Linked DNA regions of Neodiprion lecontei. The protein of the gene in region 2 purifies or fractionates together with the protein of the main gene of each other region. This does not show direct contact. Links are inferred from orthologs where the notes say so. Each region holds a gene or a part of one and is shown on either strand. Other genes may lie near its edges.

Region 1 (7,760 bases), on a different chromosome or scaffold from region 2:
TAGGGAAGTACAGTGTTTTTTCAGCCCTCGCCAAATGACCTTTCGATATGTCCGAGGTTCAGTTTCTCGCGTGGTATTGTTGTGCGACTTTTATCCCCCCCCTCGTAAAACACATCAGTTGTACCATCGGTTCTAATATTATGCGCAAAGTGTGCATTATTGACGGTTATATTGAAATCCAATAATTAATTTAGCATTAATGAAATCAACCGTATATTTAGTTGTTATTGCACTAATGGACCCCGATACTTCTATGCCGGATGTCAATACCCTGCACTGAAATACTGGTGACCCGCGGTAGCAAATCTTCGCATAGTGCGTAGGAAGAAAATAATGTGCCAGTCCTATTTCAAATATTCATGAAATGTATTTTTAATATATTACTTCCATTATACTTGGTGGAAGCATGTTCATATTTGAACATCATTACGAAGTGTCTGTTGTGATGGATTTTTGATCATTCGTATATGTGCGTCTTACAGCAACGAATAACTTGAAAATGCGAGTAGGTATTGCTCGTTATCGCTTTCAAAACGTTTCAAGAGAAATGTAAATGTCGCCAATATTAAATTTGAGCAAATTCACTGCTCTAAAAAACTTGTTGAATTAGGTCATTGAACAAAAAAATAAACTAAGCAATCGTGGGTATAATTATTTATCTTTTCAAGAAACCATTAACTCTGTTGAAGTCTACATACCTTATTAACAATTCGTAAATAGGTGACGTACAAATCAACTGATAATTTTCAAAAAAATTCAATATATTTACGAAGAAGTTTTCACGAGAACTTAATTTTTGTTTTTTCAAAATGTTTTCAAAGAGTTGTCAAACAAATTTTGTAATTCAAAATGTAAATATTGCAATTAATTTTGAAAAAAAAAATAATTCAGAGCAAATATCGACCTAATTTAGAATTCTTTCTTCCAAAAGCCTTCGTGATTGTGTATTTGAGTATGACATGAGTAACGAAAAATTTTAAATAAATGAATGAATAGTAATTTCGCGTACCTAGTATCTAATTTTAAGTGAAATAAAATGGCGAGTCGATTCAGGCATCGTAGAGAAATTTTAGAAAAAACTTGGATTCTACAGCTTCATCCTATTTAGCCTAGTCAAATAGAAACGGTAGCGATACCTCCACAGGCTGCTCGAGTAGCTTCGAAATTTCAATATTTCATTTCTTTTTAATTGTTGAATTCTTACGAAGACCAATTCCCGATTAAATTGAGAAAAAGAAATGGTTTAGAAAAAAATGCTTTACAGTATTACATTTTTATACTGTAACATTTTTGCAATCCTCTGTTCTCAAAACAGAATAATAATATGAGACTTGAAAATTGCTACCGATTTTGAACCCTTCACAAACAAAATAGTTACTAATTCAGAATGTTACAATCGTTAAAGCAAATATCTGATGATTATATCTGTAATATACTCTGTATTGTTGTGTGTGATTAAATCAAAATGCTTTCAAATTTTACCCTTCATTACAACCTGCTAATCGTTAAATCATGTTTTATATTTCCAGCCGTTGATCCTACGATGTTCTCGAGATATTTCTGGAATTCTGGAAGATCCAATTAATGAAAAGAGGCTTCAGAAAATCGATACTTGAGCAAAAAAACTTTTAGCTCAAAAAAAAGAAAAAGAAACCCTAAGCCATTATTATTTGATAAAAAAATAAATTGCTGTCAACAAGCTGCTATTGATTGTTTAGTTGCCATTGCAGGATTCCCTGGAACTTAATTGGTACAAGAAAGATCTTCTAGCTGTGGATTCTCTGTTGGAATACCAACCAGGATTGTTCTTTGCAGAAAATGACAATAATGGTAAAGGTAAGAAATTCATTTCTCCGCCTTCTCCGATTTAATATTGCTTTGTTTTTTATTTATACCTATAATTTGGCCAACACTTTAAATAGGTTTAACAATTAATATTGTCATTTCTCATTTCGAAATTAGCTTGTGCCCTGAAACATTTTACACTCAGTCCGATACTAACGATAAGTACACGGATCATATTCATGTACATATAAGGAATATAATTGAGCAAAATATAATTGCCATTAGTGAGCTATAACAGCTTATTCTAAGTTTTCATAAAGTCGCAGACGGAATAATAGCGCTCTATATTTGGTGCGACATGATCAATATATTAAATGTCATATCTTATGCGTTGCATTTACAAAAGTGTATAAAAAATAATATTATTTATAAACCATCGTCACTTGACTAACTCTTATTCCTTGCGCGCTCGGTCCATGGCTGTTTGTTTTGCCCTCTTATTGGCCAAGTATATTGACCAGAAGAATCCAATCAGATTTACTACCAGCACACGTAGCTGTAAAAGAATGCAACTTGTATCAACAAATACATATGGTTTTAGAACTTGCTAATTACTAGGATTTATATAAATTGGTAACATAATGTAACGATTTTTGTTGTAAAATTCTAATAACGTATTCCTTATTGGCAAGATTTGAAAGTATGTAGTTAAAATTATGAATCAATATTTTTCTGAGTTCATATTATCTATCTGATTACCATTGGTGGGACGAATGTTATGTTGATAAATTGGAACAGTGTTAAGTACTTCCAATTTGCCGCTAGAACGGGCCAGTATAACTTCTCCAACTGAGCGTAGGATGTTTCGTGAGTTTTTCCCTGAAAAGTAGTAAATACATTTAATTATTATGCATCGCTATATCCTATTGGTAAATATTCAAGATTGGATTATGTACCTCAAATCGTGCGAGCATGTACAATGACAAGACTTGGAAACATGGTGTATACAAAATTCTCTCTATCAGCAGAATCCCAAGCGAATGCTTTGTTAACTTGTGGATATGCTGGTAAAAATAATGAGGCACTGGTCCACCAAAAATGAAGCTAAAAAGAAAAAATTAAACGAGATAATACACGTCACAGTGTTGAACGCGACGATTAAGTCGAACGTTGCAAAGTTCGCGCATTCTTACTAAAACGTATACAGCATCCTGTTTTGGACTACTTGTTGGGATGAGTAAAAAACTACGTGAAATCCAATACAAGAAGGTTCGTACAAAAATTCGCAAAAATAAAAAGGCGGTATCATTTTGTTAGTATCGAGAAATTCTATATTAAGGAGAAACCTTTGAGTTTTGTATTATTATAAGGTAAAAGAAAACATAGGAAGCCTTTAGAATATTATAGTCACACTGTAACTACACGCACCCTTTGAAACCCTACAAATTTTGGTTAGGAATTTTTTTTCTATCTCAGTTTTGAAAATATCTCGATGAGTTATTTAAATACGAATAGCCTGTATATTTTAATAATGTCTTCGGATAGAATATATTCGCGATGCTCACACGGTGATTAATTATCTGAGTAGCTGAAACGGATACTGTTGCAAGGAGTCTGGATAGATAAAGTTCCATAGTACAACATGCCCAGGCAGTACACTTTCTGACATGCCGACTATCATTTGGCTTTTGATAGTCAATTAAAAGTCAACGCACACAATAAAACTGACTAAAAATTATTGAAAACTTGCAAAAATCGTGACTCGTTAACTAAGCTTGGTAATCTTTTGCCGACCGTAAATCGTATTGCTATTTAGGTGGGAGTCGTGAATAATTAACAAAGCGAATTTCAGTGATATTAGAACAGTATATGTCGGAAAATGATTGTGTAAAGTATCGAATGTAGTTAGAACAATATCACACAGGATTGTATCGATTTTAAGTAAATAAGATGTTATGGATAGAATAAAAATACTCTACAGTAAAAAAAAAATCAGAAACCAGTAGCTATGTTCATTTTGTAGACAATTCAAGATACAGCATCGATATATGGATATTTTTTGGTACATGTGTGGTGTGCCAAGTCTTTCGTGAGATTGAAATTTGTAATGTCAACGCAACACTAACGTAAGATTAAGTTACTTCTATTATTAGTGAAGGTTGTGGGAACAGCGGGGCAAAAGTGAATTGCCTACTGAGATCCTCAAAATATCCTGAAAGGAAATCTTATATCCTCATTTTTTGATACCCTATGAACCCTGAATAATTGGGACGATAAAATTTTTTGTTCATACATTTGCCGCAACAACGTTATAAACACCAATCTCATTGTCTTATTGAATGCTACAAAATAAGTGATTTTAGATTGAAGCTGCAAAGCGTGTTGAATAAATTATTGACCTTCTCCAAAGTTGGTACTAGTTGTGTAGAGTTTAATGCCATACAGCAAACTCAGCGCAACGAAGCAGGAGAAAACTTGGATACACCATTCATTTTGGTGAATTCCATTCACATTTCAGATCTGGTAAATACATAATCTCCAATTCGAAAATATAATTCCTGGAATTCAAATATTGCTCTATTTAATCAAATGAAATTGTATATTGATAAAATATGCCTTTCGCCTAAAGAATTCGAGCGTTTTATCGCAACTCAATAGTTGATAAGTATCACACGAAATATAAAGTATGCTTATAATTCCCCATACCTTTCGATCATGAGCCAAATACCCATCCATGTATGCATGTATTGTACTTGATAAGATGGCTTAACAAGAATACGGCTTTTTTTTAATAACTGCGTTGCAATTGTTAAATTGAAACTCGTCTCTTATACCTGGCGAGGAAAGGATAAAATATTGCTGATTTATAACACGAGGCTGAAATAATTTTTGGTTTCTTAGTCTTAAGACACTTTGCACGGCCAACACACACATTTTGTTAAAGTATCAAATTTGCCTCACCTTGACCATATACTTCAACTATTTTGATGAGTTTATATATTCGAAAATTTGGAACAATTTCAAATGAATATGTGATATTTTGGTATTCAACACATACAACAATGGGCTTGTTGGCGAGAACTGCCGAGAGTCGAGACTCCTTGCAGACCTCGTTACATAATTGGCGCTGGCATTGGTAATGGTCGTGAGCATCGCGAATAGTAATTAACTTTATCTGTAAAACAGTGTAAATTAAATTTTTCGTCTTTTCTTGTTTTTATTTGGAAAATTTTACAAATTTTTAGTAAGTTAAACATGTTACAAATAGATGATTGAATATTAGACAATTAGGTAATAAGGCATCTGAGTAAATATTTGTTGTGATTTTTAATCATTCCAACAAATCTTTTACTCAAAGAACTCTTGATATATCGATATGTACATACTATAGTGAAATATTCATTGAAATTTACATGCGTAAATGATGCCAAGCAACTTACCCGAATAAAGCGAATGCAATCAGACTATCGTGATTGAGGTGCTTCGCTCTGGATAATTTCTGTGATACATAATTACCCAAAGTTGCGATGCAGCAACTGGAATTGAAAAATACATACCATCTAATAATAGAAAACTCTTGTGATACACAAGTAATTCTGAGTTATGTGATACATCGGTGTTGGTACTACTTTTTTTTTTCACTTTGCCTGATTTGCTGGAATTTCTAGTAAAGGTCTTACAGTAAAGATATATGCGTTGGTTTTAATATGAAAAATTTTTCAAATATCGCGGAAAATCATCAAACAATCAACTCATACGAAAAGTGTTCATTGACGTAAAATTCTTCTCGCAAAATTACAAGTGTGTCGTAAATATGACGAATTATTTTTTACCTCGTAAGAGCCTTCGTTTTTAGCGGAGTTGAATAAAGACTATGAAAATAAGCTCCAACCAGTTCGTAAACAATGTCTACAGATTTTGATAACGCCATTGTCACGAGTTATCGCTGTTTTTGGGGTTGATCTTCTTTAATCTTCACTGATCTCTACTTGCGGTATAGTGTCTCTGACCTCTATCGTCTCTTGAGTCTAGTCTCTAGTATCGTTATCTATCTTACTTTTTTCTTTTTTTTCTTCTTATTTCTGCTCAATCATACTTATTTCCAATTATGCTGTTTTTTAACTTATGGGTTCTTTTAACTCGACTAGGGCTATGATTGGATAAACAAGACGAATAATGTTACTATAGCATATCATCAGTCAACGTGTGCTGTCAGTTTTCACCTAGGAACCAGTAAATTGTAGAAGAAGAAGTCTCAGATTTCTAAGCTACAATTTGTAGGTATTGCAACGTGCCGGGCCACGAGTGTTGCGTACATGAAATGCGATGAGAACCGTTGGCGGTACGTCGGTAACCTATAATTGAAACCTTCCATTTTGGAAGCTTGCTACGGTTTTTCACTTTTTACATTTCCGACCATCCAAGCATTCTGATTGATTTGCAAAGTTTAGTCAACTGATCACAATGCTTGGATGGCGAGAAATGAGAAAAATGAAAAACCGTAATAAGCTTCCAGTTTTTAAAATCTAGAGATGAGCGTTTGCAGCAATCTGTCGGTAAAATTGTTCATCCTTATTCCAATTCCATATTGTTCCTCCGGCGATCCACCTCTTTATAGTCACTTATTAGTTACTATTACTTCGTGGCTGAAAAATCCAAGCGCGCTTCAAGCACACTTCAAGTGAGTAAATATTGTGGAGTAGAGCTTGGCTAGCCTCATTTGCTTCCGTTCAAGCTCTCACGTCAAGAATGCTAGAACAAAAATCGTGCGGTATGAACGAGAAATCATTTTACAACACTGTTCAATGTCAAACTTTTTCTGCCGATGGGAATTATTTATTAGCTGGGAACATATATGGCGACGTTTCTGTCTATGAGTAAGTACAAACGATTAATTTTTTAATTCAAGTAATTCAATAATCCGTCGACCTGCCAGGTTAAGTTGTATAGTTTTACAGCATACCCATAGTGATAGGTTTTAATCTTACAAACTTGATTTTACGAATATTGTCGTAGTTGATGATGACAAACATCATCAACTTTTACAATTGGAAAATTATTCACTAATAGGTTGTCTAAGGTACTGGGTCCCTATCATGGAGATGACTGTGATCCAAGAGGGCCGAATTATCAATTCACTGCGTATAAACAACAACAAGTTCACAGCATTATAGCAACTGATAAATTTCTGATTACCGGAACGGTAGGAGAAATATCTGGATGGGACTGGAAGGTTGTGACTTCCAATAAAGTATCTAAAATTAAAGTTTCCTGGACGATTCACATACCAACCGTTAAGTAAATATCAAATTGCACAGTACGCTATTAAAACTGTCATGTATTTACAAATTGATGAAACTAATTACATTTGTTCATACATATTCCACTTATTTTCAGCTGGTTTTATTTCTCTTTTCTAATAATTTAAGGGACAGCTACGTTAAGCCAGATGTCAACTACATGCTAATTTCACACGAAGACAACATATTACATGCTGGTTGCGGTGATAATAAGATATATACGTTCAGCTTAGAAGATGGAAAATTACTCAGAACACTTGAAGGTCACGAGGATTTCATCCATGCTCTTTCAATTTTGTAAGTAAAATTTATTAACATCTAGAGATTATTTCATAATAAATAATACATTTGGGTCATTTTGAATACTCACATTCATTATCAAACGAAACAATTATTGCAAGTAGTTATTTTCAAACTGAGGTAAATTCGTAGTCTCTTGTTGAGAAGTAGCCTTTTACAAGATTAGACAGAATAGAGTTGGTATTAAATGTGGGTTGTGGAGTGTACATCTGGATCCAATCAATTTAAACAGGCATTTCAGACATTATCCGATTTTTAAAAACTTAAACAAAAAAACTATGTAATCTAACATTATAATTTGTGAATAAGTTTTTTCGACAGTAACATTTCGATCTCAATTTTCCCATGTTTGGAACTAGTTTATGTAAAACTCTA
Region 2 (5,901 bases):
AAATGATCATCGGTGGTGGAATGGCATTCACATTTCTGAAAGTCACGAAAAACATGAAGGTACGGTGATCAGAAAGCAGTAGATTTTTATCACATTGAAGTGCGACTCAGATGATAATAATAATAACAATTGTATTCATTGGTCTGATTTTACAGATTGGTGCTTCTCTCTTTGACGAAGAAGGTGCAAAAATCGTTAATGACCTTCTGGAAAAAGCAAAAAAGAATAACGTACAAGTACATTTACCTGTGGATTTCCTGACGGGTGATAAATTTGCTGAAAACGCAACTGTTGGAACTGCTGATGTTGAAACAGGCATTGCTGACGGCCTTTTGGGTCTCGACATTGGTCCTAAATCACAGGCTATATTTGCTGGTAAATAATAATAGCAAACAACAAGGGATTGACACTCTCGCTATGGGATGAATCCGAAATTGATACGGCTTTCAAATTACAGAACCTCTGAAGCGAGCAAAGGTAATCGTGTGGAACGGTCCGGCAGGAGTTTTTGAGTTTGAAAACTTCAGCAAAGGTACAAAGAGTCTGATGGATGGTGTTGTTGCTGCCACACAGCGTGGTGCAATCACGATAATCGGCGGTGGTGATACAGCTACTTGCGCAGTAAAATGGCAAACAGAAGACAAAGTTAGCCATGTCAGTACTGGCGGTGGTGCCAGCTTGGAGCTTCTAGAAGGCAAAGTTTTACCAGGAGTTGCGGCTCTTTCCGATGCCCCATAAATGGGGCAAAAGGTTCCTGTACAATTCACAAACTCTTGACTTTTCAGAGCAGATTAGCACTGTTTGAACCACTATGTGTATATAGAATATCGATTCCTGAAACGTGATATAAAGATTTAGTTCTATGTAATCTCTTTAGATGTCACGTTTTATCTCTATAAGAATATTGTACCAAAATGTATCATGTTGCTATTTAATAAAAGTTAACGATTCTAATTCTAAATTCATGTGAATTATGCTGGCATATTGTATGCGATCACCTAGCTTTACATTGACCTGGAAGCTCCAGTCGTCTAAGAATGTCAATCAATAGGACAACCGCGTGTAACAGTGAAAATGTGCCATACCTCAGAAGTAGTCCTAAGGGTTCTGGCTGTCCACCTCTGTTCACTGCGATCAATTAGACAATTTAAGACTTCTCACTTATCTCGAGGACATGTTAAATATAACAACATTGTAACGATGAATAAATAACAATTTATGTGTATAAACATCTAACTCATGGCACTTACAAAAATGTTGAAACCCGTCCCATGAACAGACTAACAAACATAGCCATGTCTCATGTGGCGCAAGGGTATAATAAATATTAACACGTACCTAGATGAAATAAATCTGCTGAACCGAGTATAACAGAATAAAAATTTACTATCTGTAAAAAAAAGTAGTAACGCGTATAAGGACATATTTATTATTACCTTATAATTACCATTTTCCCGTAGGTGGCTAGTGAAGATCACAGATCGTGTTTAGGTTTTATTTTTAAATTATAATATGGTGACCTATTCCTTATATATTACATCTATATGCATAATGCATGTATTGTCAGTAGGGATGTGACTGGACCAGAAGTGTTAAATCTTGTCAAAGTCGAATTTTCGCATCCCTAACGTTATGTTTGTAATTCGTACATAACATTGCGAAGTATATACATGTATACACGTACCTACACCGCATTTTAGGTAAGATACACGTAAAATAAGAAAACAAACCCTATGCACGGCGCATAGAAAATTGTGCGAGGCAGTTGCTACATGAAAAACGATCACGTACTCCATACTCAAACCGATGTGCACACAAATGAAATAAAGTCATGAAATTAACCGAACAACTACCCCACATCATATTAATTTCAATGATGAAAAGAGAATTTTATGTAATCTATCATTGAAAATGCAAATGACTGTAGATATGCTATAGATATCTGTCGGCACTAGTGTTGCGAAATAAACATGGAAGCTCAGCAAATCAAAAAATATGGTAAAGGCAACTACTGAAGTGAAATATTTTTGTCATTTCAATCTAGGTCTTTGTTTATAAAAAACAAATAAATCTTACTATTGGAGAATAAAAGTTTTTAAAATGGCCATTTCATTAAAACAATGTTATGAAAATCGATACTGACGAAGTTTGACAATCTTTTTTTCTTTGTCAAACATATTGCGACATTTCTAAGGCTACGTAACAATTTTATACTTTTACATGACGCAGCAGTTTTCAGGTGGGTCAACTCCAGGTGGAAAAACTGGATTTCCTTCAGCATCGCACTTGAAAAGTGCAGGAGCACCGACCAACTCTTCTGGTGGTTGCCCGCAGTTCTGCATTTGGTTCATCAATGCCAATGTCTTTTCAAAGCGAGCCTTTTTCACTTCATCAGAGTCGTCTTCTTTCTCATTTTCCAGCTCTGCACATACCTACGGAAGCGAACCACATAAATGAATCTCGCATCAGTTTCTGATATTATCTCTCATTATAATTTCAGTTAAAATGTTTGCCTGCCTATGGTGACAATTATTAAATTGCACACCTTTTGCATGAGATTTAATTGTTCCGTGTATCTTTCAAAATCAGCTGCTGGTAGGGTGGGTTTTTTTTCTTCAAGCCACACTGGATATTTATCAACTAACTCTTTCATTGTGGGATATAAAACCTCCTTGGACAATAAAGACTGCATCATCCCTTGCATGAAAGATGGGAATTCGCCAGACTCTTCCTCCAGAGATGTTCTCCCGAACATAGCAGCCAGATCTGCTTCTCCCAATCCTGGCACCGGGTTCTATTACAAAAAGTGTACATCAAAAATCAAAATTTGTGGCAAAATATTCTGAAAATAAAATACTACACATGTAACCTAGTGTTCTATCAATATGATTTAGTTGAATATATAAAAAAGTGCTCAAAAATCAAGGGTTATCTTCAGTGTTGAACATCACCTGCAGATCCTGACTCGTACTGGACAAATCTTTAAGCGCTTGTGAAATGGCTGACTGAAAGTCACTGCGAGAACTTTCGCTCCCAAGATCGCCTTCCCCTGTGATAGCACTGGCTACAGTTTGTGCCATTTTTTGGAAAGAGGCTCCCAGATCGTTATCATCACCTATGCAATAAATTGTGTTATAACAACTCGACAATTATTTCTTCAGTTATCACCATTTTGTATCAGGTTCTGTAGGTTTTTTTCGAACTGGTCTGCAGCTTGTTTGATAAAATCTTGCGTCCACTGATCTTCAGCGCCAGCTGCGGCATCCGGCTGCTCCAATTGTGCCGACGATGCAACTGCCGTTGCATCGGTTTTTGGTTTTTCGCTTTGAACCTGATTGAAATCCTCGAGAGCGCCTGGAAAAATTTAAAAGTTTGCTATTACATTGATTTCAAATTCAAAATTCACATCTGATGAAACCTGCGTACTAAAATTGCAAAAACTAAGGTTAAACCGAATTAAATTGATAAGATGACCTACATATATCGAATTCCTAATAATAAACGGATAAAGCATGCATTTTATTTTTTGTACCAAGACAACAATTGACTAAGCAGGTGTTATGGAACAATTGACAAAAATTCTAGGTCAATTTCTAACATTACATAACAGTAAAATTATTGAAAAAGGAAGACTGTATAAAATAAAATTTTGATCTATTATCTGGTGGCCAGAAATTTCATTGGAAGGTTATAAATAATCTTGACTTCATAATTATCGCTAAATAATGAAAATAACAGCTATAGACGCTGTTCGTTTCAGTGGTTATAGGTTATGTTTGTGCATAATAATTTTTCATCACCAAGTCGTTGCTGATTTTTGCAAACGGAGATTACGCCGTAAATGAAAATGTAATTTGCGTCAGTACTCACTATCCAATAAGTCGTTTAATTCCGCATCTGCAGGTTCTCCAGATTTTTTCTTATCCTCAGACATTGTCGAGTTGCTTCCCGCTACGTCACGCGCGAACAATTAAATAAATCCCAAGCCTAAAGACCTCGCGCGCTTCTGCTTAGTGTATTACAAAAATTAAATTCCAGCGGCCGAATCACAACTTTCTTTGCGACGCGTGGCGTACCAATGCCGCGTATCAGCACAAAGTTCAACCCATATAACCAGATGAAAAATTTTTTCGCAACTTAATTAACTTATTTTCCTTGCCTTCCTTATTTTTTATACAGATTCGAGTAAGATTTAATGAAACTTTTAATGATCGCTTTGGTCACGTATACCTACGTAGTTTTACTTGAATTGCATTATTCGGATCACGAATAACGGAATATTCGATAGGTATCGTCGTTCACAAAAAATTATCAACCTATCGCATAACGGATACATTCATTAGTCACTAATTGCCTCCAGACGCGAATGTGCACGTGCAACGGTGTATTAAGGGCAGACGGACTTATCGATTGAATGATTGATTGCAACAACGCTCTGTTGGCAATATCAGGATTTTATCTGTATAAAGTACTTGCACATATTCAACAAATTATTTGTTCATATACATAGTGGTAATCTGTATTAGCGTACAGTTATAAACGTCAAGTTACTCGAATAAGGGAAAAAAATAAATATTTATGTTTATTGTACATATTTTGTGTTACAATTGAACAAGAATTACAACTCTGTTAGGCAGATCATCGATCTGGCTGCACGCAAGAGATCGGCTATCTCTCCTGATTTGTCTCATGATCTGAAAATATTTGATCTAAAAGCTGAGCACACATGTCAGCTTCGTCGAAACTTTCTTCTGCCCTTAGTTCACGTTGATGACGTTCTAGAGTCTGCCTCAGGCAAAGTTGCGGCCTTCTGCATTCCTTCAATGCTGGCAAGTAGTTATTTTTGGCCAATCCAGCTAGTACCCTCAATAGCTGGTCCCTTGAGTTATTTACAAAAAGAAGAATCCATATATATTAATTCCGTTAGCAGTTCGGACAGAAATATTTTGTAAGTGAAGTAACGGAATTTAGTACCTTGTATCTGGATGAAGACCTTGCATTGCCAGCAAACCAGCCGCTTGTTCGATCAAACCCATATTAACAAGAGTTGTCTTTAAATTATGGGGATTGCCATCTTTGCTACATAAAGATGATAACAGGAAGGCAGATTTTATCTGCAGTTTTTCTATTGGACTTTGCAATGCCCTTAGCAGAACTGAATAGCCATCATTGACATTCAGGTGAGTCAATGATACTGGGTTCTCCCTCACCAGACCTAAATGATGAAACATCGTGATAGCAACATAAACTCAGTTAATTGATTACATACTCTGAACTTATTCTTCCAATTTATTCTTCAGCAAGAATGAGGCAGGGCAACTTTTAAAATCAAATATTAGTAAATCTGTCTGTATCGGTGATCATGGTAGATATAAATTCTCTCGAATCGTTTCTGATTAGTTTATGAATACAGAATGATGACATATTATGTAAAAATGTGGACTTACAAGAAACTGCATATAAGGCCTTAATTCTGGTCTGTTCTGAGGGGTCTGTGTCTACCATATGCAGTAATGTCGGCATCAAACCAAACTCCAAGACCTTTTCTTGACAGTATGGATTATTTTGCGTCAACTCAGCGATAATGTCAGCTGCCCTCCATCTGTGACTGCTGTACTTAGAATTAAGGCAGGGTTCGAATATCGCGAAGCCTCCAATTTTGTAAAAGTCATTTGCAGTGTCCATGTTGTCGACATAATTTGCGATCACATCCAGTGCATTATCGTATTGGGAAGGTTCATTCTCAAGCTGGAGTTCGCTTGCACTGGACAACACTTTTATCGACTTTTGAAGTTCCTCTATCACATTTACAGTCATAGAAGACAACGCTTGATTCAAGAACGCTTGTCGCTATACAGAGAAAAGAAAATATAAGCTTATTTTCCTTAATTGATGAAAAAA

The links. Proteins that work in one complex are often made in the same cells at the same time.
Region 1: the proteins of peroxisomal biogenesis factor 19 (region 2) and peroxisomal membrane protein 2 purify together in Homo sapiens (affinity purification with mass spectrometry; 3 studies listed by BioGRID and IntAct, counting the BioPlex papers as one, with this or other methods). This does not show direct contact. The link is inferred for Neodiprion lecontei from reciprocal best matches to the Homo sapiens genes PEX19 and PXMP2.

Annotation. Positions count from the first base shown.
Region 1 is NC_060266.1:5,732,799-5,740,558, forward strand, and holds the start of peroxisomal membrane protein 2, read right to left. Parts: upstream 6,002-7,760; 5' UTR 5,717-6,001; coding exon 5,619-5,716; intron 5,322-5,618; coding exon 5,226-5,321; intron 2,890-5,225; coding exon 2,742-2,889; intron 2,665-2,741; coding exon 2,545-2,664; intron 2,342-2,544; coding exon 2,240-2,341; 3' UTR 1-2,239. Other genes in the region: THO complex subunit 6, read left to right, coding at 6,535-6,662, 6,856-7,083, 7,215-7,382. UniProt on the Homo sapiens protein: Seems to be involved in pore-forming activity and may contribute to the unspecific permeability of the peroxisomal membrane.
Region 2 is NC_060263.1:34,408,540-34,414,440, reverse strand, and holds peroxisomal biogenesis factor 19, read right to left. Parts: upstream 4,147-5,901; 5' UTR 3,935-4,146; coding exon 3,871-3,934; intron 3,355-3,870; coding exon 3,169-3,354; intron 3,116-3,168; coding exon 2,952-3,115; intron 2,795-2,951; coding exon 2,546-2,794; intron 2,433-2,545; coding exon 2,217-2,432; 3' UTR 739-2,216; downstream 1-738. Other genes in the region: phosphoglycerate kinase, read left to right, coding at 1-59, 156-375, 458-738; hsp70-binding protein 1, read right to left, coding at 4,669-4,879, 4,975-5,215, 5,448-5,850. UniProt on the Homo sapiens protein: Necessary for early peroxisomal biogenesis. Acts both as a cytosolic chaperone and as an import receptor for peroxisomal membrane proteins (PMPs).